Linked DNA regions of Macaca fascicularis. The protein of the gene in region 1 interacts with the protein of each later gene in a biochemical or structural test. Links are inferred from orthologs where the notes say so. Each region holds a gene or a part of one and is shown on either strand. Other genes may lie near its edges.

Region 1 (8,713 bases):
AGGCAACTTGGGGGGAAGGCGCTTAAAAATAAATCATTCTTAAATCTGTGCATCAATGTTTTATTTATTTCTTTTTTTTTTTTTTGAAACGGAGTCTCGCCCTTTCACCCAGGTTGGAGTGCAATGGCGCGATCTAGACTCACTTCAACCTCCGCCTCCCGGGTTCAAACGATTCTCCTGCCTCAGCCTTCCGAGTAGCTGGGATTACAGGCGCACGGATCACGCCCAGCTAATTTTTGTATTTTTAGTAGAGATGGGGTTTCACCATGTTGGCCAGGCTGGTCTCGAACGCCTGACCATGTGATCCGCCCACCTTGGCCTCCCAAAGTGCTGGGATTACATGCATGAGCCACCACATCCGGCTGCATCAATGTCAGGCCCAACAGTAGTATTTTCTGACCAAGACAATCAAATACTAAAATTAAGGTGCACTACTTGTCTAATAAAACCAGGTAAAGAAATCTGCATCTTAAACAACTCAGTAATTACTGAAGATCCTGTGGTGTCAAAATATTACCTACGTATTATTTACTAAGAATTGATGCTTGTAATTAGCTGGGTGTGGTGGGCGCCTGTATTCCCAGCTACTTGGGAGGCTGAGGCAGGAGAATCGCTTGAACCCAGGAGGTGGAGGTTGCAGTGAGCTGAGATCGAGCCACTGCACTCTAGCCTGGAGACAGACCAAGACTCCGTCTCTTTTTTTGGGGGGGGAAAAAAAAAAAAAAGAATTGATGCTTGTTTTACTAAAGAGCAGTGCATAGTATAACATGACTCTAAAAAATAAGCTTGGCAGAAAACAGCTTGAATTGTATACCACATTCACCCATCCACGAAAGCCTATTTATATCTCAATTTGAAGTGATGAAAATCAATACCCAAAACAGAAGCCTGAAATTTGCCATGGGTATAGGACCAGGTCCTCCAGAAATCCAACAGCCACTTCCACACCAAAACAATATTGCTTCATTTGAAATTACTTATTAGCCATCTACTGGACTACAAATACTTTATCATCTCCCAAATTATTAGATCCTAACTAGCTTTTGTTCTTCATCTACCTAATCAAGTTATTTACCTGCTCTATGATTTCACTTTTCTTATTTGTCAAATAAATAGATGGGCAGGATAACCTAAGATTTCTTCCAGTTTTAATACACTAAGATTTTTAAGTCAACAACTTAACACAATATTCTCCTGTCTTGCTTCAGAAATATGTGTATATTAAAAGGATACATTTAGGGAAAAAGTTTCTATCTTCCCAACGCTTTAGTAATCCCTTGGGCTTGTCCTTTAATTTGGCTCCAAAGATAAAAGTTCAAACACTGACCCAGTGAATACTTTATTAGGCATATAGTGCAACTGTCCTGGTCAAAAAACCAAAAATACTTCCTAACTGCTGCTATAAAGGATTTTTCAGATAGGATAATCTTTTCAAAATCAAAACAAAAAATTATAGAGGCACAGACAAATGACATGGAAGTTTCTAAATCAGGTACCACTTAATAAGCTAGGATTCATCTAGTTCTGCAGCCAAATCCGGAAATGACTCAAAAATAATATGCAATATAAGATTTTCTTTAGTTTAGTCATGCCCATGCCTAGATAATTAAAAATCCAAAAAGCTACCAGTTCTAAGAAAACCTGAGAAGCTTAGACAAAGTTTGTATCATGATATTAGACAAATTAAGTTTTTTTTCACTGTATTATCAGTTCCAAGATAATAAAGTATCAGAAAATTCCAGGTGATAAAGGGAAAACACACATCACATTCTGAAAAGTCTCAGAAGTGAAATAATTAAAACTAACAAAATTAATTCATAAAGTGCTCAACAAGTAATTGGGTCCAGTCTCAAAAAAGTAAGGTAACCGGTTAAGGAAAAAAAAAATTGTTAAAAAGCACCTATTCAAATATAGAACTATAATGGAAGAATAAAATTCCAGCATCAGTAGCAATAGGCGTCGAAAGTACAAGAAAGAAATGTAAATTCTGTAAATTTCTGCCTGTAAACCAAAAGGAATCAGACATAAGTTGTTTTTGTTTTTGAGACAGAATCTCGCTCTGTCACCATGCTGCAGTGCAATGGTGTGATCTCCACTCACTGCAACCTCCGCCTCTCGGGTTCAAGCTATTATCCTGCCTCAGCCTCCCAAGTATTGGGATTACAGGCGCGTGCCACCATACCCGGCTAATTTTTGTATTTTTAGTACAGTCGGGGTTTCGCTATGTTGGTCAGGCTGGTCTCAAACTCCTGACCTCGTGATCCACCCGCCTTGGCTTCCCAAAGTGCTGGAATTACAGGCGTGAGCCACCGCGCCTGGCCCAGACTAAGTTTTTTGAGTATGACTGACGAAAAGGAATAGTTTTCGTTGTTGTTTTTTTTTTTAAGATCTGTCACCTTTCCAATTCTAAAATACTATAAAATTAATGAGTACTTTTAATTTCACACTACCTTAGAAGTTCTACATCATTAACTGTAAAAGTTAAGAAATGATTATGTTTGTAAAGAACTTCTTAGTTTTTAAGTTTACTTCCACATGCTGTGTTAATTTCACATTTGATATGGCCTTAATTATTTGGAACCTGACATTCAAAGGGTTACATGTTAACATATTAGTTCATGGATAAAACAAGTTCCAAGATCATTCAGTTATTTTCATATCCTGTATCAGGCTGGTCTAATGACATTTTTTTATGTATGCATAATGTGGCTGACTTTTTTCCTTCAGTATAACCCTGCTCCTACTAATAACCTATGTTCACCTATGCCCAGTCAGGGCAACATTCAAGCAAGCTGCTTCAGTTAGTCAAGCAACAAGTAGCGCAAACTCAGCTGTTTAAACCTAGAATGTACTAGTCAACCAGAATGACACACCATTATTTACACCACTAGAGGTTAAAAAAGGAAGTATTGCGACTCCTTTGGACTCTTGGGAAAGTTTAGCTTAAAAATATTTTATAAGATTAAAATAATGATGATGACATTACAACTCTCAAAGCACTTACACAATTTTGCATGGGCTCCTGTACTATTCGCTGTATAGTGAATGGGCTGAAAGACGTTAGTTTAACGAACAATGTCAGAGCAATGCTGCTACTGTAAGGCTTAAGCATCATTAGGTAGAACAACATCAAACATTTATTTGCACGTCACTACGGCCAAGGCATTCATCCAAAAGGGGCAGAGAAGAGTCTTTTTTTAATACTTATTTTATACTAAATGCCTGTGCAACCATCAAGTAAGATATATCCAAAAGTACAAGGTCGTTCTCATTTAAAAAGAACAGCCTGATCTCAGGAATGGAAACACGCTTCTACGCCCAGAGGCAGCTCATCACTGCAGAGCCTCTGATGAGACTGAAACGCACAGAGGAAGAAGCATCTGTACTTTCAACTTCCCCCCTCATTCCAAGTTCCTTGCCAGACACTAAACCAGGAGACAATTCGTTTATACTAAGATGACCTTCACCACCCCTGCCCGGTAGCAAATCCCTCTGGCTACCAGTAATTCTTATCCTATCCCAACACCGAGGCACATGCTCCACATTCTCCTAATTTCAACCCCTTTCAAAAGTTGACCTCCCCCTCCCACTCGGAGTCCAACAGTTAGAGAATGCCAAGTGAAGGGTGAACTCCATCAACTGGCTTCGCCAAGCCAAATTTGGGATCCAGAGGACCTTCAAATAAAGAAGTAGGTGGGGCTTTACCTGCAGTTCACACCAGGCGACTTCCACAGTGGTTTCAGTGTCCAGACCTTTGTAGACCGTCTTAAAGGAGCCTCTGCCGATTTCGATGTCAAACTTGAGAAAGCGGCCATCGTTAGACATTCCCACGGCCTTGGTCTCCAGCTCTTCGATATCATCCTGCTGCTGGCTCCGTTCCTCCTGCGGCTCCTTGGCGCTGCCGCCGCCGCTGCCACTTCTCGCTGGCGGCGGCTCCTCTTTGCTCCCCACAAGGCTAGGCTGGGACACTGGGCGGTCTTTGCTGGTACTGCTGGGGACAGTCGAGGGGGCAGGGCCCGCGACGGCCTGTTCCCCAGGGGCGGCAGCGGCTGGAGGCTGCTGGGCTACCTGAGAAGCGGCGGTGGCGGCCACGGTCTCTTCCCGGTGGGGCTCCGGTGGGGCACTCTGCGGGACAACCGCGGGGATGCCGGGCTGGGGGAGGGCAAGAGGGAGGCCGGGGAGCTCCAACGCAGTGGCATTGGAGTCGCAGATGACACTCCGGCGGAAGAAGCGGTGCTCGGTGGTGGTGGTGGTCGCGGCCGCCCCGCGGCTGTCCTTGTCCATCGTGTGGCGGCGGCGCCGGTACTCCTCAGTCCTGCCGGTCCCGGCGTCGGCGGCCGCGGCCCCCAGTTTCTCCCCCACGGAGGAATCGGAGCTGGAGCCATTCTTGGGGGCAGGAGCCGGCGGCGAGAGGAACAGGGAGCCGGGAGTGCTGCTCTGCTTCTCCGCGGCGCCGCCAGACATGGTCGGTTCGCTGGCGAGAGGCGAGCGGGCTCGGAGTCGCGGATGGAAAGGGCGTGAGGGCCGAGCCGCCCGCGCGGAGGTCTGCAGGGCACCGCGGCCGGGCGGGTTCGCGCCGACCCGGAGACGCCTCACTCAGCACTGACCAGCCGCAGCGAGGGCGAGGCGGGCCGCTGGCACCGAGACTGCTGCGGCTCGCGAGGAGGGCTCGAAGGCGGGCGAGTCGGGAGCGGAGCCGCGGGGGTTAGCGCCGCACGGTCCGCATCCATCCTGCGGCGAGCGGCGGCCGGGCGGGCGGCGGCAGCGGAGGCGCCGCAGTCATGAGGGGAGGGCCCGGGGCCGGCACCGAGTCGAGGCGGATGCGGCGGACGCGGCTCCCACTGCCCCGCTCGCCGAGCCGGGCGGGCTAGGCCCAGAGGGCGGCGGCGCCGCGAGCACGGGACCAGCTCCGACGCCCGGGCGGTGGCAGCCCCGGGGCAGGGAGTGGGAGGGGCCGAGGCGAGCGAGGAAGGCCGCGGCCCGGCTCCGGTCACTCGGCGGCCGCCGCCTCCCACACGCGCCCCCCGCGATGGGGACCGGCCTCACTGGTCGCCCATCGCCCCGGGGCGAAGGGCCGGAGCCTCGGAGCCTCGGCGCCTGAGGAGCGGGCCCCCCCTTCCCCGAGGCCTCCCCGCCCGCCCCGGGCCTGGCGAACCCGCCTCCTCCCGGGCCGGTGCCGGGGGCTGACGGCGGAGGGAACGGCGGGGAGGGGAGGGCCGCTCACCGCGGGGCCCGAGCTCCGCTGCTTCTCTGAGGCAAGAGGAGAGGAGACCTAGAGGACTGGGTGAGGGGGAACAGGGAGAGAAAAGAGCAGTCACCCCCACCAGGCGCCTTCTGTCACCGAAGACGGGGGTGCGGAGGGGCCGAGAGAGGAGCCGCGTCCGCCCGGGAAACTCTCTGCGCTAAATGGCGCCGGGAGTCTGAAGCCTCCACACAGCCCGCTCGGATCCCGCCCCCCGCCGCCCGGGGCAGCCCCACCCCCCACCTCGCTCCGGGGTTTTGCGCAGGCGTGCCAGCCCCGAGGCACCTTGGGACTTATAGTTTACGGGTTGGAGGAGATGAACGGGACCTAGGAGAAAAGTGCCTACGACTTCCGTGATGCCTCGCGGTTGCTGTAGCCTGATGCCTCGTGGGAGTTGTAGTTTTCTTTAGAAACCGTCCCTTCTGAAAGGCTGATGGGAGCGTCATCGCGGGTCGCTCAACCCCATCCTGAAGTCCGCGCGAGCTTAGGAAAATCATTATTTAGGGATTAATTGTGGAAGAAGGGAAGGAAGGGAAAAAAAAAAAAGAGGAAGGTGGGGGGGAGATGGAAAGACTCCCATCATGCTCTGCTAAGCGAGAGAGCTCTTAGGGTTGCCATGCAATGAAAAATGATCTGTTGTTCATCTTTAATGGAGAGAGCCGCAGTAGTGTTGAGTGACTGCAGGGCTGTGGGGGTGGAGGGGAAGGGTAAAGCCGGATAACCGGAGCCTGAGTTCTGAGTCGGAGGAGGGGAAAAGAAACTTTGTGAAGATGGTGCATGAAATTAATATTGATTAAATGGATTGGAGGAGGAGACAGGATTATCTTCCATCCTCCTCCCCTCAACAATTAAGGCCACATTCTCAGCTCCCGCCCGACACGGATATTCCGGCTCTCAAAAAAGGGCTGCCTGACTGAAATGGGGGATCCTAGTGAACTCCCTCTTGGCTTTGCCTGAAAGATAATAAAAGCGGGGTTGGGGGAGCGGTGGATTCAAGAAAAGATAAGGTCTACGGATCTATGGGTCTTTGGCCACACTTGGGGGGGCTGGGCTGACTTCTGCCTTTGTAGTTGGTTGAAACTTATTTTCCACCTTTCTTCTGCTGGGTGGCTCCGTGAAACAACACCCCCTCTTTCTCCAGAGCTCCTCAGTGTCCACATGCAACGTCTACCAGGGCCCTGGGCCCGGGAAACGTGGATCCCTGCGGCTCGGCGCCATGGCATGTTTTTCTTGAAAGCATCCTTGTCTCCCTGGACCCCTGTGCTCCTCGCAGCTCCTCAAGATGCGGAGGGGACGAGCACCAGGGGGCACCAGACGGAGTAGGAGGCCGGACTCGGGAGCAGATGGCAGTTTAAAAGCCTCGGTCCAACCGGTGGAGAGCGGGAAGCGCGGAAAACGTACGCAACCGCATCAGAGCGTCCGGGCGCGGCCGCCTCTCTTGGGCGCCCGCTGCGGAACCAGCTCGGAAGCGCGCGTCCCGGGCCGAGGACCACGCTGCGAGCGAGCAGCCAGCGAGGAACTCGGCAGGAGGTTCCTTAGCACAGTTCTCGGATGAGCTCCACCTGCAGAATTCTTGCCGTGCAGTTCATGTTAATTCATCTGATCCGTAAAATGGTTAATGCTGTTTTCTTTCTCTTTTTGTTGTTGTTTATCACAAGCTACCCTTTCGAGTTTACAACAATGTTTGAAGCCAATGATTGTGAGGTTTCATGAAGCTGACAGGTTGTGAACATTTTAAAATGCCAATTCAGTAGGGACAACTAGAGTACTAAAATATTAGTGTTCCATTGCTCTAGAAAATGTATCTTTCATTCGTTTGCTGCTGGTAATGGTAAATAATCTCATTATGGTAAATGGAATTAAGAGTGTATTTCTAACCGTAAACCTACTGTAAGCAAGGGAAGAAATGGCCGTAAAATACATTTTTATTATACTTCTTGAGTCAAATAAAACTTGCCCAATTGTTGCTTCAGGAGGAAAAATAGTCTGATTTTAAACATAAGGCAGCTAATTACAAATTGGCAAGTTAAAAGAAGATCAGTAAATCACAATGTTCCCTTTTGGCACCATAAAAAAATTAGGATATTTTTGTGTGAGTGGTTATTAAAGGATTTTATTATTGCCTGTTCCTGTTTACTGAGCCCTGAAACTTTGGCCACACTGCATTGGACACAAGTCCCTTGATAATCACCATGCCCTATCAACATGTCTTTTCAACCAGGAACAACTAAATTCATTGTAAGTAATTTAATTAATTGTTGACTTAAAACCACACTTGCCTAGGAGACAGCTTTTCCCACTTGTGTAATGTTAGCTTTACAATGAAAACAGATACAATTTTAAGTTGAATATAATCTTGTTACGTACAATGATTAGATTTAAAGGTTATGTTGTTTGGTGTGCATATTTTACTAACACTTTTTTGTTCACTTTTTTTTTTTTTTTTTTTGAGAGAGTCTCATTCTGTTACCCAGGCTGTAGTCCAGTGGCTTGATCCCGGCTCACTCAGTTCTTTTTAATGCTTACCAACCTATCTCCAAGTAAATGATATTTTCTGTTACTCATTACTATAATTCCTAATAGTACTTTTCCTTTCTCTGTTGTTTCAATTATCGAGTAAAGAATCAACCTCTCTGTATTCCGTATAAAACATCAAGTGACCATAAACAGAGGTAACAAAGAAACCAGGATACAATGAATGCACTAAGCTCAGAGGTTTGACTTCCTGACATTTGGTTCCACAAGGATACAAGTATGTTATTCTCTCTCACCATTTCTCTGTTCTCTCTAGTTCTTGTTCATGTTCTCACATTGATTGATTCATGTTTCTTTCTATTCCCATCCATTCACATTTTTCGTTTACATGGTTTCTGCCATTGGTAACTAGCTAGCAATGAAAGAGACACTTTTGATTTAGACAGTGACTGAAATATCCTGAACACACAAGATCTGCCTTACTTTGAATGTGGCATAATATTAATACATAAAGTTGCTTCTTGAAGTGTAGGGGAAAAAATTGTCCCATCTTAAGAGCATTTCTCTTTTTTTCTTTGTCTCCTTCCCCTCATTTTCCCATGCTCCTTTGTCTTGCCTATGGGTAATTTTTATTTTACCTCTTTGTCATCTGGAACCCTGTCATCTGGAAGTAGGCAGTGAAAATCAGGCAGCTAAACAATGAAGAATAGTTTTTAAGAACTTTATATTATAAATGAAATAGAGGGGATGGGATTTTACCTATATCAAAGTATATTATAAAACCACAAAATTAAATCTGTATGGTATTGAGGTAAGCATAGGCAATGAAACAGGAGAGTACAGAAACAGTCTCATGTATGTATGGGAAGTTCATATATATATATAAGGAAAATTGCATTTGAAGTCAGTAAGGCGAAATAATAAACAGTGCTTGGACAATTATTCATTTGAAAAATAAATGAGGTCAGTTTACTTCAGACTGTTCACAAAATTAAT
Region 2 (8,516 bases), on another chromosome or scaffold:
AAGTGATAAACATCAAAATTCAAAACTTTTGTACTTTAAAAGACACCATTAAGTAAATGAAAGAGGTCAAGCGCGGGGGCTCACACCTGTAACCCCAACACTTTGGGAGGCTAAAAATACAAAAAATTAGCTGGGTGTGGTGGCACACACGTGTAATCCCACCTACTCGGGAGGCTGAGACAGGAGAATTGCTTGAACCCAGGAAGCAGAGGTTGCAGTGAGCTAAGATCATGGCACTACACTCCAGCCTGGGCGACAGAGCAAGACTGCAACTCAAAAAAAAAAAAAAAGTTAAAATTAAAGAAGGCTAGGCACAGTGGCTCATGCCTGTAATCCCAGCACTTTGGAAGGCTGAGGCAGGCGGATCGCTTGAGCCCAGGAATTTGAGATCATCCTGGGAAATGTGGCGAAACTCGGTCTCTACAAAAAACACAAAAATTAGCCAAACGTGGTGTCGTGCATCTGTAGTGCCAGCTACCAGGGAGGCAGGGATGGGAGGATCACTTGAGGCCAGGAGGTGGAGGTTGTAGTGAGCCCTGATCATGCCACTGCACTCCACCTTAGGTGACAGAGTAAGACTCAAAAAAAAAAAAAAAAAAAAAGGAAATGAAAAGAAAAAAAAAAACTACAGATGGGAAAATATTTAAATTAAATCATATATCAGATGAAGGACACATACCCAAAATGAATACACATACCCACACTTCTATAACTCAAAAAAAAAAAAAAAAAAACAAACAGCCAGGCACAGTGGCTCACCCCTGTAATCCCAGCACTTTGGGAGGCCAAGGCAGGTGGATCACCAGAGGTCAGGAGTTTGAGATCAGCCTGCCCAACATGGTGAAACCCCATCACTACTAAAAACACAAAAATTAGCTGGGCATGGTGGCGAGCACCTATAATCCCAGCTACTCAGGAGGCTGAGACAGGAGAATTGCTTGAACCCAAGAGGTAGAAGTTGCAGTGAGCTGAGATCTCACCACTGTACTCCAGCCTGGGCAACAGAGCAAGACTCCATCTCAAAAAAAAAAAAGAAAAGAAAAAAGAAAACAACCCAATGGGCAGTCCAACTGGACAAAAGATTTGAACAGATATTTCACCAAAGAAGATCTATGAAAGCCTAATAAAATAAGCACATGAAAGGATGTTCATCATCATTAGTTATTAGGGCAATGCAAATCCAAACCACAATGAGATACCACTTCATAACCACTAGGGTGGTTACACGCAAAAAGACAACAAATGTAGAGAAATGAGAACTCTTATAATTACTGGTAGGAACATAATGGTACAGTTACTTTGAAAAACAGTTTGGCAGTTTCTTAAACAGTTAAATTTGTGATACAACCCAGCAATTCCACTCCTGGGTATACATCCAAGGAAAATGAAACATATTCATGGGATGACTTGATGTGAATACTCAAAGCAGCTTTATTCCAAACAGCCAAAAAGCAGAAACAATCCAATGCCCATTAACTGGTGTCCAATAAAAAGGAACCATGTACTACATGGCAGATGGATGAACCTCAAAAAGCATTATGGGAAGTAAAAGAAGCCAAACGCAAAGGACCACATATTATATGATTACATTTACATGAAATGTCCAGAAAGGGCAAATCTATAGAGACAGAAAGTATATTTTGCCTGGGGCTGGGGGTGGGAACAGGGAGTGACTGCAAATGGACATGAGGCATCTTTCTGGAATGATGGAAATGTTCTAAAATTGGATTGTGGTGATGACTGAACAATTATGTAAATTTACTAAAAGATTATTGAATTGTACATTTTAATCAGGTAAATCTTATGGTATGTAAATTATATCTCAAATTTGTTTTTTTCAAATGAAAAAATATTTATGCTAAGTGAAAGAAACCAAACATGAAAGACCACATGTTATATGATCTCATTTATACAAATGTCCAAAAAAGGCAAGTCTATAGAGACAAAAAGTAGATTTATGGTTGCCTAAGGCTGGGGGTGGAAAAAGGGATTAACTGTAAGAAAGCACAAGAGATCTCATGGGGATGTTGGAAATACTCTAAAACTGGATTATCGTGAAGACAGTTGTACAACACAGGGAATTTACTAAAAATCACTAAACGTTCCACTTAAAATGGGTGAATTTTATATTAAATTATACCTCAGTAAAGCTGTTTTAAATCCATGAAAGATGGTCAAATCACATTGGAGTTCATAACCTTTTAAAAACCATGGACCACTTTGTGAATGTGAGGAACACTAACCCTATCCAGAAGACTGAGAGGCTACCTTTTGCCCACTCACAGACATCCTAAGGGTCTGAGGACACCAAATTAACAAATCACCAAATCTCTAGCGCCTTTGTAACTCTGAAATTCTTTGCCATCTTAACACCAAAGGCTTTGAGAATGACTACAACCACCCTCTTCACCCTAGAAAGATGGACACACTACCAGAAAAAAAATAAAAATAAAAACTCTTCTTTTAAAATGATGATAGGGAACCTCATCTTTACTTCTCTGACATCATTTTAGAATCTTCCATTTAATCCTTTCCTTCAATATGAAACTCTGACTGGCGGAACCAGAAGCAATCAGTTCAGACCGGGAACCAGCTGTCTTTAGAACCAACAAATACACGTCAAAGACCCAATAAATACGTAGCAAGCACACAGGCCCATGAAGTGGCTTAAGCAAAGATGTGATGTCTTTATTTAGTCCAGGTTTTTTTGTTTTGTTTTGTTTTTGTTTTTCCTACACAAACCAATACTGCTTTAAGCCCAGATTGTCTTACAACAAGAGGCAAGTTAAAAAAAAATTTTTTTCACAAAGTTTTTTTTAAACCCACAGTGAAATAAACACCGACACTCCCAAGGCAGCTAAGAAGTCTTCAGTTGGTCTTTGTTATAAAACTAATTTTAGGGCAGGATGCTGGCAAAGTAGACAATTCTCCTTCCTCCAATACACAGGTGTCTGCTCATGTCAGTTTGATTGAGCCTGTATAGCTAAACCCACCCCCTTTTGATTTCCAAGGTCACTGGGTTATTGTTGTCCAACAAATACTCCCCTCATCCCCAGGCCCCAGCCTCCTCCCAATCCCTAGGCTTCTGTGAGAATTACAATCTATGTTTGTGCAAGTTTTGGTCTCTGCCAACTGGGATTCCTGGACCCCCTTCAAATCTTTTCACACACCAGCCCAATTTATTGGATCACGTCAAGGCACTATTTGAGGGCCTCCAGTGATACATAAAATTCCAAAATCTGTAGCAAGGCTGAGAAGATCCCTAAGCTCTGGCTCCTCCCTTCCCTCTCTATCCTTGCCAGCCTTCCTTCAGGTCCTAAAACATACCAAGCTTTTCCCCTACTCAAGGCCACTGCATCTCCTCATCCCTCTGTAAGGAAAAATCTTCCTGAGGCTCTTAATCCTCACTTCTCATCCTTCAGGGCTCAATTGAAATGTCATCGCCTCAGAAAAAGAATTTTCCTTGAAATCACCCTAACTAGATCTCCAGGTTATTCTCTATCAGAACATCTTGTTTATCTCCTTCATGGCACTTGCCAAAACCTCTTCTTTTTAATTCCACCCCCCCACCACCACCAAGGACGGAGTCTCGCTCTGTCGCTCAGGCTGGAGTGCTATGGTGCGATCTCGGCTCGCTGCAACCTCCGCCTCCAGGGTTTAAGGATTCTTCTGCCTCAGCCTCCCGGGTAGCTGGGACTACAGGCGAGCCCCACCACATCCAACTAATTTTTGTATTTTTAGTAGAGACGGGCTTTCACCATATTGGCCAGGCTGGTCTCAATCTCCTGACCTCGTGACCCGCACGCCTCGGCCTCCCAAAGTGCTGGGATTACAGGCGTGAGCCACCACGCCCGGCCCTTTTTAATTCTTTTTGTCTACTTATTTAATGTCTACCTCCTCGACTAGAAAGTCACTTGAAAGGAGTCAGAAGCTGGGTCTCTGTTGCTCAGCGTGGTTCCTGCAGCTTCACCTGGAGGATCCCCAGCTCGCCCCAGCACGGACCAGGAGGAAAAAACTAAAGCAGAAATCGATGGCTGTGCCCACAACTTCAAGATCCCATTTCTCACACAGCCTCGGTAAGGCCTGCCCCACACCTGCACTTTCTTTCTCTACAAGACACATGGGTCGCTCCTGTCCACACATCGGAGAATGCTGTACACAAATCTCTCCTGAGCCCCCTCAAGCCCCACCCCACGCCGCCTCACAGGCGCGCGCCTCAAAACCCCCTTCCCGTCTCACACACGCTCGACACAAGCGTCCCACGAATTCCTGTGAGGGCTGCGCTCCCCGAGCTTCCGCGGATCCCCACGTTCCCGCGTCCCCCGCCGCCCAGCGCCGCGCCTTCCCCCTCCGCGGCGCCTGCTCTCACCGATCACCTCCTGCAGCTCGTAATCGTCCCTGTTGATGGACCAGGGCAGGGCGCTCGAGTCCTCGGACATGACGGCGGCAGCGGCTCGCGGTCCTCCCTCAAACTCGCTGACCTCGCTCGTCTCCTCGCCGCGCGTCTCCCCACCCCCAACAGCCGCCGCCGCGCCCCCACCAATCGTCTCGGAACAGCCACGGGTCGGACGGCGCCAGGGCGCGGGGTCACCGCGCGGCAGAGCGGCGGGGTCTCAGAGCTCCGGCAGACCTCGCCTCCTGCTCCTCCGCGTCCGGCACTGCCCGGCCCAGCCCACGTCCTGTCCTCGGCCTCCGCAGCAGCAGCGACAGAAGCTTTCCCTGGGCCCAGCCCCTCTGTCCCGCCCTCCACCCCAGCCCCACGCACGGGCCAAACTTTCCCTTCTCCCTCCACCTGCCGACACGCAGCGCGCTGACGTCACCGCGCTGGTCACGCCCCACCTCGGGCTCGCCTCCGGCCGCCATCTCCAGTGTGGCTGGATACAAAGTGAGCGAGCTAGAAACCCAAGAAGGTGGGAGTTGGCGGTGAAAGGGAAGAAATGTTTAGGTAGAGGTTCATCGAAGGCATCGAAAAGCCGTAGGAGAGCCTCAGGTAGCACAGAGGCAGTAGCCACACTAAGCATGGCGACCAAAGCGCAGCAAAGTAGAGGGGGCGGAGCCACTTCTAGCGCCTGGGGCACGTTGCTGGCTCCGTCGTCGCATTCATTGGTTTGTTTGAGAAGGAATCAGAAAAGCAATGGGTGTGGGTAGACGTCAGTCATAAGCTGGTCCCGCCTCCAGGCTCTTAGAGCGCTTCTCCGTGTTAGGGCTGCAGCCCTTCAAGAGCCCCATTACCCCGCTCGTCTTACCACTTCCTCTGGAGTGACGTCACGGCGTAACCGTCACACCCTCGAGACGTGCGAAAGCCTCCACGGGGTGTGGAGAAGCCCTGAGGGAGCGGCTGGGTGGGGTAGCCTTCGGGTGTGGACCACTGCCAACTAGGATAAAAGGCCTTGGGCCACCGGTCGGAGTGAAACTGGAAGTTTGCCTGGTGACATTTTTTTCAAGGCGGACGTTCTCTCTAAGGCATGCTGTGGCGCTGTCTCTCGCGGTTCCCTCCTGCATTGGGCGGGTTCTGTCCATTAGCAACTTTAGATCTGCAGCTCAAGCACCTGCCTTGAGGGCCTCGGAAGGCTTTTTCCCCCCGAACAGGGCTTGGGCTATTAAACAAGTCAGATCGACCCACAGATTTGGGGGTTGTCTCACGAGCCTTGGCTTTTGTCACCCCCACTGAACAGTTTTCTCAGTTTGACTACGTAGTGCCGTTGGAGAAATTAGCGAGCTGAAGACAACACGCTTGGTAAATTGGATTTTAAAAAATAAAGAGCATCTAACAGGAATAGGGCTAGGTGCGAAACTGTTCTAGGTTGGACGCATTTCAGTCCAATGGCAGTTATTAAGGAAGAGACCTTAGGCCGGGTGCAGTGGCTCATCCCAGCACTTTGGGAGGCCGAGGCGGGCGGATCACCTGAGGTCAGGAGTTCGAGACCATCCTGACCAACATGGTGAAACCCCGTCTCTACTAAAATACAAAAATTAGCCAGGCATGGTGGTACGCGCCTGTAATCCCAGCTACTAGGGAGACTGAGGCAGGAGAATCGCTTGAACCTGGGAGGCAGAGGTTGCAGTGACCCGAGAGCATGCCGCATGCCACCGCACTCCAGTAGCCGACAGACCGAGACTCCGTCTAAAAAAAAAAAGAAAAAAAAGGCTGGGTGCAGTGGCTCACGCCTGTAATCTCAGCACTTTGAGAAGCCGGGGGGTCGGGGCGGGGTTGGGGGGGGTGGGTGGATCACAAGGTCAGGGGTTCGAGACCAGCCTGGCCAATATGGTGAAACCCCGTCTCTACTAAAAAAATACAAAAAATTAGCCGGGCGTGGCAGCGCGGGACTATTCGGGAGGCTGACGCAGGAGAATGGCTTGAACCCAGGAAGCGGAAGTTGCAGTGAACGTTGATTGTGCCACTGCACTCCAGACTGGGCAACAGAGCCAGACTCCGTCTCCAAAAAAAAAAAAAAAAAAAAAAAAAACCTTTCCTGCAAGCCATTGGAAGTTCAGGGTTTTTTTTGTTCTGTTTTTTTGTGGGAGATGGAGTCTCGCTCTGTTGCACAGGCTGGAGTGCAGTGGCATGATTTCGGCTCATTGCAACCTCCACATCCCCTGTTCAAGTGATCCTCCTGCCTCAGCCTCCCCAGTAGCTGGGACTACAGGTGCGTGCCACCACGCCCAGCTAATTTTTGTATTTTTAGTAGAGACGGGGTTTCACCATATTGGCCAGGCTGGTCTCGAACTCCTGACCTTGTGATCCACCCACCTCGGCTTCTCAAAGTGCTGAGATTACAAGGGTGAGCCACCGCGCCCAGACTTTTTTTTTTTTTTTTTTTGAGACGAAACCTCGGTCTGTCGCCCAAGCTAGAGTGCAGTGGTACTATCTCGGCTCACTGCAACCTCTGCCTCCCAGGTTCAAGCGATTCTCCTGCCTCAGCCTCCTGAGTAGCTGGGATTACAGGCGCCTGCCACCACGCCTGGCTAATTTTTGTATTTTTAGTAGAGGCGGGTTTCACCATGTTGGTCAGGCTGGGGAAGTTTAGGTCTTAAGCTTGAGCTACACCAATTCTCCTCTCCTTGCTGGGAGTCCTGCCTGTCTACTGCAGCAAAACCTGTGTGGCAATCTGGCGTTACTGCACTGGGCAAGTAGATCTTAGTTTGGTTCTAAATCACCTCCAAGGCCGGGCGCGGTGGCTCAAGCCTGTAATCCCAGCACTTTGGGAGGCCGAGACGGGCGGATCACGAGGTCAGGAGATCGAGACCATCCTGGCTAACACAGTGAAACCCCGTCTCTACTAAAAAATACAAAAAACTAGCCAGGCGAGGTGGCGGATGCCTGTAGTCCCAGCTACTCGGGAGGCTGAGGCAGGAGAATGGCGTAAACCCGGGAGGCGGAGCTTGCAGTGAGCTGAGATCCGGCCACTGCACTCCAGCCTGGACCACAAAGCGAGACTCCGTCTCAAAAAAAATAAAAAATAAAAAAATAATAAAACACCTCCAAGCACTGGAAGCTTTGTGTGAGCTCTGCTGTGGGAGGTCCAACTGACCATGAAACCAGTCAACTAGAAGCTACTAGTGGGTTTCCACCTAGTTGGTAGGATTGGAGAATGTTTCATGAAGAAGGAAGTGTTTGTACCAGACCTTGCAAAGTTAACATGATTTCAATAGATGCACATTTAGAGGATAGAATAGTCCAGGCCCAGCAAAGGTGCCACAGTTCCAGAAAGCATAGCACAGGCCTTGCTGTAAGTGGTTTCAGCCATTACTACTGACACTTTCTTTACCGTATGTTCTGCCTTTTTCTTTTTGCAGGGAGGAGAGGGATGGGATCAAATGTATCAGAAAGGAGCTAAATCTGATGGTATTAGCTTCAAAGTTTGCACCAATAGAAAGGTCTACAAATCAGAAATCCTTAACTTGGGGTTGTTAAGCTGTATGACCCATGGACATACTTCAGTTTTGTTTTTTGTTTTTTGTTTTTCTCCCTGGCACAGTGGCTCAAACCTGTAATCCCAGCATTTTGGGAGGCCCAGGCAGGTGAATCACGTGAGGTCAGGAGTTCGAGACCAGCCTGGCCAACACGGTAAAATCCCATCTCTACTAAAAATACAAAAATTAGCCAGGCATGGTGGCTGGCACCTGTAATCCCAGCTACTCAGGAGATTGAGGCAGGAGAAACGCTTGAACCAAGGAGGCAGAGGTTGTAGTGAGCCAAGATCATGCCACTGTACTCCAACCTCAGCAAAAGAGTGTGAGACTCCATCTCAAAAAAGAAATTATATATATATATAATATATAAAAAATAGGTATAGAAATATAATAGGATATACTTCAGGGAGAGATTTTGGCAACCTTCCTCCTTTCTTCCCCTTCCCCAGTGAAAAGGAGCTGCTAATCTAACAGTGAAAATTCGAGATGTTAATTGGCCCATGTTCTTGGCAGGCAGGGTCACCAATGGATTTTGTTCTGCCTCCTCCACAAGCATAGCTTGATGGATTAGTTGAGCCAGAACCAGCTCTGCAGATCTGTTC

The links.
Region 2: of the proteins of WNK1 (region 1) and OXSR1, one has a biochemical effect on the other in vitro, tested with the Homo sapiens proteins (2 studies listed by BioGRID and IntAct, with this or other methods). The link is inferred for Macaca fascicularis from reciprocal best matches to the Homo sapiens genes WNK1 and OXSR1.

Annotation. Positions count from the first base shown.
Region 1 is NC_088385.1:1,506,358-1,515,070, reverse strand, and holds the start of WNK1 (serine/threonine-protein kinase WNK1), read right to left. Parts: upstream 5,412-8,713; 5' UTR 4,465-5,411; coding exon 3,706-4,464; intron 1-3,705. UniProt on the Homo sapiens protein: Serine/threonine-protein kinase component of the WNK1-SPAK/OSR1 kinase cascade, which acts as a key regulator of blood pressure and regulatory volume increase by promoting ion influx.
Region 2 is NC_088376.1:100,190,236-100,198,751, reverse strand, and holds the start of OXSR1 (serine/threonine-protein kinase OSR1), read right to left. Parts: upstream 4,771-8,516; 5' UTR 4,440-4,770; coding exon 4,370-4,439; intron 1-4,369. UniProt on the Homo sapiens protein: Effector serine/threonine-protein kinase component of the WNK-SPAK/OSR1 kinase cascade, which is involved in various processes, such as ion transport, response to hypertonic stress and blood pressure.